2 linked regions of the Saccharomyces cerevisiae S288C genome follow. The main gene of each other region encodes a partner of the protein of the gene in region 2 in a complex. Each region holds a gene or a part of one and is shown on either strand. Other genes may lie near its edges. A codon is read from its position in the direction of its gene.

Evidence for each region.
Region 1: the proteins of SMY2 (region 2) and MSL5 are in contact, whole or in part, in a crystal structure (PDB 3FMA), measured with the Saccharomyces cerevisiae proteins. Residues at the interface, in NP_009731.4 of Saccharomyces cerevisiae: Tyr210 (codon at 2,395), Asp212 (codon at 2,401), His218 (codon at 2,419), Phe221 (codon at 2,428), Trp229 (codon at 2,452), Tyr234 (codon at 2,467), Phe235 (codon at 2,470), Leu239 (codon at 2,482); in NP_013217.1 of Saccharomyces cerevisiae: Ala443 (codon at 3,090), Pro444 (codon at 3,093), Pro445 (codon at 3,096), Pro446 (codon at 3,099), Gly447 (codon at 3,102), Leu448 (codon at 3,105).

What each region holds. Positions count from the first base shown.
Region 1 is NC_001144.5:379,059-382,760, forward strand, and holds MSL5 (mRNA splicing protein MSL5), read left to right. Parts: upstream 1-1,763; coding exon 1,764-3,194; downstream 3,195-3,702. Other genes in the region: cleavage polyadenylation factor subunit CFT2, read left to right, coding at 1-1,506; CLF1 (Clf1p), read right to left, coding at 3,413-3,702.
Region 2 is NC_001134.8:578,577-583,139, reverse strand, and holds SMY2 (Smy2p), read left to right. Parts: upstream 1-1,767; coding exon 1,768-3,990; downstream 3,991-4,563. Other genes in the region: SWD3 (Swd3p), read right to left, coding at 1-732; UMP1 (Ump1p), read left to right, coding at 968-1,414; Sec63 complex subunit SEC66, read right to left, coding at 4,156-4,563. UniProt on the Saccharomyces cerevisiae protein: Suppressor of the MYO2 gene.

The DNA of each region.
Region 1 (3,702 bases), on a different chromosome or scaffold from region 2:
TCTGAGAAGACAACCTTGATTTTGACCAAGCCGAGCTTTGAATGTGCGTCGTCTTTAGACAAGATACTAGAAATTGTTGAACAAGATGAAAGAAATTGGAAAACATTTCCTGAAGATGGTAAATCATTCCTCTGCGATAATTACATTTCAATAGACACCATAAAAGAAGAACCCTTGAGTAAAGAGGAAACAGAGGCGTTTAAAGTACAGCTTAAAGAAAAGAAAAGGGACAGAAATAAGAAAATTCTACTGGTGAAAAGAGAGTCTAAGAAACTGGCTAACGGCAACGCAATCATAGATGATACCAACGGAGAGAGGGCAATGAGAAATCAAGACATTTTAGTGGAAAACGTCAATGGAGTACCACCGATTGATCATATTATGGGGGGTGACGAAGATGATGATGAAGAGGAAGAAAACGACAATTTGTTGAATTTACTCAAGGATAACTCTGAGAAATCAGCAGCGAAAAAAAATACGGAAGTTCCTGTAGACATTATAATTCAACCAAGTGCCGCTTCAAAACATAAAATGTTCCCATTTAACCCCGCTAAAATCAAGAAAGATGATTATGGTACTGTTGTAGATTTTACGATGTTTTTACCTGATGATTCTGACAATGTTAATCAAAATAGCAGGAAAAGACCTCTCAAAGACGGTGCTAAAACCACGAGCCCTGTAAACGAAGAAGATAACAAAAATGAAGAAGAAGATGGTTATAATATGAGTGATCCAATTAGCAAAAGGAGCAAACACCGTGCTTCTCGTTACTCGGGATTTTCTGGAACCGGAGAAGCAGAAAATTTTGATAACCTTGACTATTTAAAGATAGACAAAACGCTCTCCAAAAGAACAATCTCAACTGTAAATGTCCAATTGAAATGCTCCGTAGTAATCCTAAATTTACAGAGTTTAGTTGATCAAAGGTCTGCATCTATTATATGGCCATCGCTAAAATCTAGAAAAATAGTTCTTTCCGCCCCCAAACAGATTCAAAATGAAGAAATTACGGCAAAACTTATCAAGAAAAATATTGAAGTGGTCAACATGCCATTAAATAAGATAGTGGAATTCAGTACAACAATAAAGACCCTGGATATCTCCATTGACTCCAACCTCGATAACCTTTTGAAATGGCAACGTATCAGTGATAGTTATACAGTTGCCACTGTCGTTGGCAGGCTGGTTAAGGAGAGCCTACCGCAAGTGAACAATCATCAAAAAACAGCGTCAAGGAGTAAACTAGTCTTGAAACCATTACACGGTTCATCTAGGAGCCATAAAACAGGTGCGTTGTCAATCGGTGACGTTAGGTTAGCACAATTAAAGAAACTTCTCACAGAGAAAAACTACATTGCAGAATTTAAAGGGGAAGGTACACTTGTCATAAATGAAAAAGTAGCAGTCCGCAAAATCAATGATGCAGAAACTATTATCGATGGTACGCCTTCCGAACTTTTTGATACTGTCAAAAAATTGGTTACGGATATGTTAGCAAAAATCTAGCCTTCTTGTATACAGCACAAATAAAAGGTTCAATTTACGTTCGTGGACTGCCCACAAAACAGTATGTGACATAAATTGCTGTGTATCTCGCACCGCTATTATCTGTATATAACATTCTAACTCACTTTTAACGATATTAGCATTATTGATTTCTTTCTTTTTCTGCTGAATTTCACCAAGCGGAAATTTTCAAAGCAGAATTTTTTCCCTAATTTGCTACAAGTGCTATTCTATCCCACAATAAAAGGAAATTGTTGATGAGTTTTAGAAGGATTAACTCTAGATACTTTGAAAATAGAAAAGGAAGCAGTATGGAAGAAAAAAAAGCAAAGGTTCCTCCAAACGTCAACCTTTCGTTATGGAGAAAGAACACGGTAGAAAGCGATGTCCATCGATTCAATTCTCTTCCATCAAAAATTAGTGGGGCCCTAACTAGGGAACAAATATACTCCTATCAAGTCATGTTTAGGATTCAAGAAATTACCATCAAACTGCGTACGAACGATTTTGTGCCCCCCTCCAGGAAAAATAGGTCACCTTCTCCGCCACCAGTTTATGATGCCCAAGGTAAAAGAACGAATACCCGTGAGCAGAGGTATAGAAAGAAACTAGAGGATGAACGTATTAAACTTGTTGAGATAGCCCTAAAGACCATCCCTTACTTCGTTCCTCCGGATGATTACAAGAGACCTACCAAATTTCAGGACAAGTATTATATCCCGGTGGATCAGTATCCTGATGTCAATTTTGTTGGTTTATTATTAGGTCCTCGTGGACGTACGTTAAGAAAGCTGCAAGAAGATTCGAATTGTAAGATTGCAATTAGAGGAAGAGGTTCAGTCAAAGAAGGTAAGAATGCAAGTGACTTACCTCCAGGCGCCATGAACTTTGAGGACCCCTTGCACTGTTTAATTATCGCAGACTCGGAAGACAAGATCCAAAAAGGTATAAAAGTTTGTCAAAACATTGTTATCAAAGCGGTGACATCTCCGGAAGGCCAGAATGACTTGAAACGAGGACAACTGAGAGAATTGGCGGAACTTAATGGTACTTTAAGAGAAGATAACAGGCCCTGTCCAATCTGTGGTTTAAAAGATCATAAAAGGTACGATTGTCCAAACAGAAAAATCCCAAATATACAGGGCATTGTTTGCAAAATATGTGGACAAACTGGACATTTCAGTAGAGACTGTAACTCATCGTCTCAAAGAATGAGCCGTTTTGACAGAAACGCCACGGTAAATAATTCTGCGCCAATACAGAGCAATGACGTACACTATAATAGCAATACTCATCCAATTCAAGCACCAAAAAGATCTCGTTATGACAATAACTCGACGGAACCTCCTTTAAAATTTCCGGCTTCTTCACGTTATGCACCATCACCTTCACCTCCTGCGTCACATATTTCGAGGCAAGCTCAAAACGTGACGCCTACACCCCCTCCCGGCCTAACATCAAGTAGCTTTAGTTCCGGAGTTCCAGGAATCGCCCCTCCCCCATTACAAAGCCCTCCAGAGTCGGAACAACCGAAATTTTCGCTACCTCCACCTCCCGGTATGACTACGGTACAATCCTCAATTGCACCTCCTCCTGGCCTAAGCGGTCCTCCAGGGTTTTCTAATAACATGGGCAATGACATTAACAAACCTACACCTCCGGGACTGCAAGGGCCTCCCGGATTATAATACACTCCCATTATACAATATCTGCATTTTTTTTTATTTGTGTTGAAGGTATGTAGTCTCTATTTTGCATAGTTCCTTTTTTTGTTGGTTTTTTGCCTTCCTGGTTATTATTAACTTTTGATATTTAATTTACTTACTAGCTTATTCTACTACTGTTTAGTTTCTACGGCCTGAACTACAATGACAAAAATATTATTTCACGATACCCTTACCTTTATTCAAAGTGCCTGTTCCTGTTTCCATTTTTTGGCTAGTTCCAAGAACTTTGATGGTTTTGGCTTGTCATCATCGATATCATCAGGAAAAATGTAATCCACGAATTCTTCTTCCACACCGTTCTGTAACCTCACTTTTTTGATTACTTTAGGGAATCTTTTCTTGACGGTTTCTTGATCGAGTTCAGTACCGTAAGTTTCTTCATAGTCTTTTAGCGCTTCCAAAATAGACAGTCTCCCTTGTTTATCATCCTTCTCCTTGAAAAAAACTATCGCCTCTTCAAAAACTTTTC
Region 2 (4,563 bases):
GTCCATACCGCAGGAATGATGCAGTACGCCCTTTTCAAGAGGCTGAACCTGGAAAGTACGAACTACACAACCCCCGATGCAATCCCATATTTTCACTACACCGTCCAGCGATTTCACCAGGAGATATCTTGCATTCTCAGAAAACTTAACTTGGGAGATGGGTACCACACCATTTTCTCTTTTCCAATCCTTGTCATAGGTCAATGTCTTCAAACAATGGCCCGTCTCTGCATCAAAGATCCGTATGAGCCCGTCATATGAACCTGAACTCAGAATGGATGAATCATTCATGGGTACGTCCACCGACACAACTGCTTCTGAGTGTGCAGATATTGTTTTCATCAAAGACCCGTTCAGTGTGTCCCATATTTTGATACTTTCGTCCATTGAGGATGTAAACAGCAAGTTCCCCTTTCTATTGAATGTCAGAGATATCACTGGCGCTGTATGGCCGATAAAAGTGTGCAGCAGCCCATAAGATAAATGAATGATTTCCACAGAAAAATCATCCGATGCAGTAGCTATGCACTGTCCATCTGGAGACCAGCATAACTCTGAGAAAGGCCTGGCATGTGATGTGACTAGTGTTTGTGATACAGTTCGTCTGTTAATGTCGTATATCAGGATGTTAAGTCCTTGTGTTATAGCAAGAAACTGCCCATCAGGAGATATTTTCGCACAAGTAGCTTTCAATCCATTCTGTGTTCCCACAGGAGTAACAAACTGGAACATGTTAGCATATAATGGCCACTTGCAAATGAATGAGCCTACGCTCAAACTTTCCAATATCTACCGCCAGTGATGCACAAGCATTTCTTATGGTCTTGCTTTTTTCACTCCTCGGGTAACCATGCAGTGGCAATTTTATCCTACCTGAGGTTATTAAAGTATATTATGTAGTTTCCTGCTCACTGGAGAGGGAATGAGTATTAAATAGACAAGACCAGAAACAGCCTGCATACCAACTATGAATATCGTCCCACAAGATACCTTTAAATCTCAAGTCTCTACAGATCAAGACAAAAGTGTTCTTTCATCTGCAGTGCCCTCCTTGCCAGACACATTACGCCAGCAAGAAGGCGGTGCAGTACCTCTTTCCACACAATTGAATGACAGACATCCATTAGAATCAACATTGAAGAACTGGGAAACCACACAGCGCCAAAGACAAATGGAACAGTATCGACAAATATTTGGCATTGCCGAACCAATGAAAAGGACGATGGAAATGGAAATCGTCAATCGTACCGACTTCAACCCCCTTTCAACAAACGGTAGTATACACCGTGACATACTACTGAACAAAGAGTGCAGCATCGATTGGGAGGACGTCTACCCTGGTACTGGCCTACAAGCCAGCACCATGGTAGGTGATGACGTCCACAGCAAAATCGAAAAACAATTAGGCATTTAAAAATTGCTCTCAATTTCTTTATACATCTGTCACGTAAACCATTGAAAAGATTAGATTAGTGCCGTAATACTTATACTACATAGTTGTGCCACACTATATTTTTAGTGTCCTATATAGTCCGCAATTACCCTATGCCTTTTTTTCAGTCGCACTGAAAAAAAAAAAAATTTTTCATATTTCCACTTATAGGTTGATTTGATTTGATGGGCCTTTTGGAACTTTTCACAATACTACAAATACCCACACACGCAGTTCAGTGGTCTCTTCGAGTTCATCATTTCCATTCGTACTCCTTGAGCTTTTACCTTCCTTCCTCCTCCCCTATATACTCAACTTCTCAGCCCACATCAATAATGATAGCACCAGACTCGCAAAGATTATTCGGTTCCTTTGATGAACAGTTTAAGGACTTAAAACTAGATTCAGTCGATACAGAAAACAATAACACACACGGTGTTTCTACTATCCTGGATTCCTCCCCTGCGAGCGTTAATAACAATACAAACGGTGCTGTTGCTGCAAGCGTGAATACAGTCCCTGGATCGACGTTTAGATCCAATACACCTCTTTTAGGAGGTCGACATCCACTCAGTAGGACGTCTTCCTTAATCGATTCTATTGGTATACAGCGTGCTGCGTCACCATTTTCTTCTATGAAAGAGCCTTTTATTCCTCAAAGTTCGGGAGTAATGAGTTCCTCTTTTTGGCACGGCGACCATCCTGAATCACGGGTTAGTACGCCTGTTCAGCAGCATCCACTATTGCAAAGAAACGAGTCCTCCTCCTCCTTTAGTTATGCTGCTAATCTTGGAGTGAATCTGAGTACACATTCATTGGCGGTAGATATTACTCCATTAAGTACACCAACTGCTGCCCAATCTCATGTCAATTTGTTTCCGTCCTCTGATATTCCTCCTAATATGAGCATGAACGGAATGTCACAACTCCCAGCACCAGTTTCAGTTGAATCCAGTTGGAGGTACATAGACACGCAGGGACAGATTCATGGTCCATTTACTACCCAAATGATGTCACAATGGTACATAGGTGGCTATTTTGCTTCAACCCTTCAGATTTCAAGATTGGGAAGCACTCCAGAAACGCTAGGAATAAACGATATTTTCATCACACTTGGTGAGTTAATGACTAAACTCGAGAAGTATGATACGGATCCATTCACTACTTTTGACAAACTTCACGTTCAAACAACCAGCTCTGATTCTATCAACTTGAATCTAGCTCCTTACGCAAGCGGTGTTGCCGCTACTGGCACTATTAAAGCTACTGAAAACGATATTTTCAAGCCATTGACACATGACAATATCTGGGATATGGATGGAGGTACCACCTCCAAGGGAGTCGATATTAAATTAGCCTCAGCAACCACCATTAGTCAAACAGATGAATCTCACAAGCAAGAATACAAATCGACCACTATGCTGGAAAAAGGGAAGAAGGAAAAATCCGAATCTGTAGCAAAAGCGTTATTGGATGAACAAGAGAAACGGAACAGAGAACTCAAAAGGAAGGAAGAAGCTCGCTTATCGAAGAAACAAAAGCAAAAAGAGGATGATTTATTGAAGAAACAAAAGGAACAAAAGGAACAAAAGGAAAAAGAAGCTTTGGAAGCAGAAAAGCAAAAAAAATCAGAAAAGACAAAAAAGGACACACAAACACAAACAGAAGGCTTTAAGACATCAAAAGATTTGCCTTCATTAAATTCCTCAAGCGCGAATCCGGCACCATGGGCCTCAAAAGTCAAAGTTAACAATGCAATCGAAACTTCAATTAAAAATGGTGTAAGTAGCACTGGAAAGAAGAAAGGAGAACCCTTAGGTCTACAACAGAGGAACAGCAAAGAAGAAAAGCAAAAGGAGGAACTAAAATCCGTGCTTAACTGGGCTAACAAGTCCAGCCTACCATCGAATCAAACTATTGATATTAAATCTCAGTTTCAAAAAAGCCCAAAAGGGATGAAAGAGTCGTCTCCGTTAAAGGAGTTGGAAGATCCAAATTTCATAGAAGAGCAGAAAAAACTATGGGAAAAGGTTCAGAGTTCTTCCAAACAAGTAAAGTCCACATCCTCTGCATCTACTACCACATCTTCTTGGACTACGGTGACTTCTAAAGGGAAAGCACCTATAGGAACCGTTGTCTCCCCATATTCAAAAACCAATACCAGTTTAAATTCTTCATTAACGGCAAAAACTAGCACAACTTCTACTACCACTACCTTTGCTAGCATGAACAATGTTTCTCCCCGGCAAGAATTTATCAAATGGTGTAAATCACAGATGAAATTAAATTCTGGAATAACCAATAACAATGTCTTAGAACTATTATTGAGTTTACCTACGGGGCCAGAATCTAAAGAATTGATTCAAGAAACAATTTATGCCAATAGTGACGTTATGGATGGTAGAAGATTTGCCACTGAATTTATTAAAAGACGTGTTGCGTGCGAAAAACAAGGTGATGATCCACTAAGTTGGAATGAAGCGCTAGCTCTATCAGGCAATGATGACGACGGCTGGGAATTCCAAGTAGTGAGCAAGAAGAAGGGTAGAAAACACTGAAAGGAAAAGCTTCATAATTTTTTCTTTTCACTGCATATTTCTTTATCATTTATTGTTATTGTATATACTTTATAACTATTTTTTAACGCAGATAATGACAAATTCTATACATATTTTTAAAAAAACACTGAACGAGCGAATACATATCTTTGCACACAGTAGGCACTAATTGACTAATCTTCCATCATTATTTATTTTCAGCTCCCACTCTTTAATACACACTTCTTTCCGTTTCAAGATTGATTGATAACGTCTAGAGAGAGCTTGATTAAAGCAAATTTCTTTACAAACCATAACGAACAATTGAACCCAGCCCGGTTGCAATCTTTCAGCTTCTTGTAAAGTATCTTTAAATTCCAATTCAATTAATTTAACTTCAGTTTCAAATCTCTTCCAGTAATCCTCCCCAATAGAGCCATTTTTATATAGAAGGTTTATCTGAGGAGCCAACTCTTTTAACTTTAATGATCGTCTAACAGATTCTGCTCCTCTGTTCAATAAAGCGGCCTTCAACACCTTCTCGTGAATTTTTTCATTTTCACTCATTTCCTTTATTTGGAAATACAGATCATG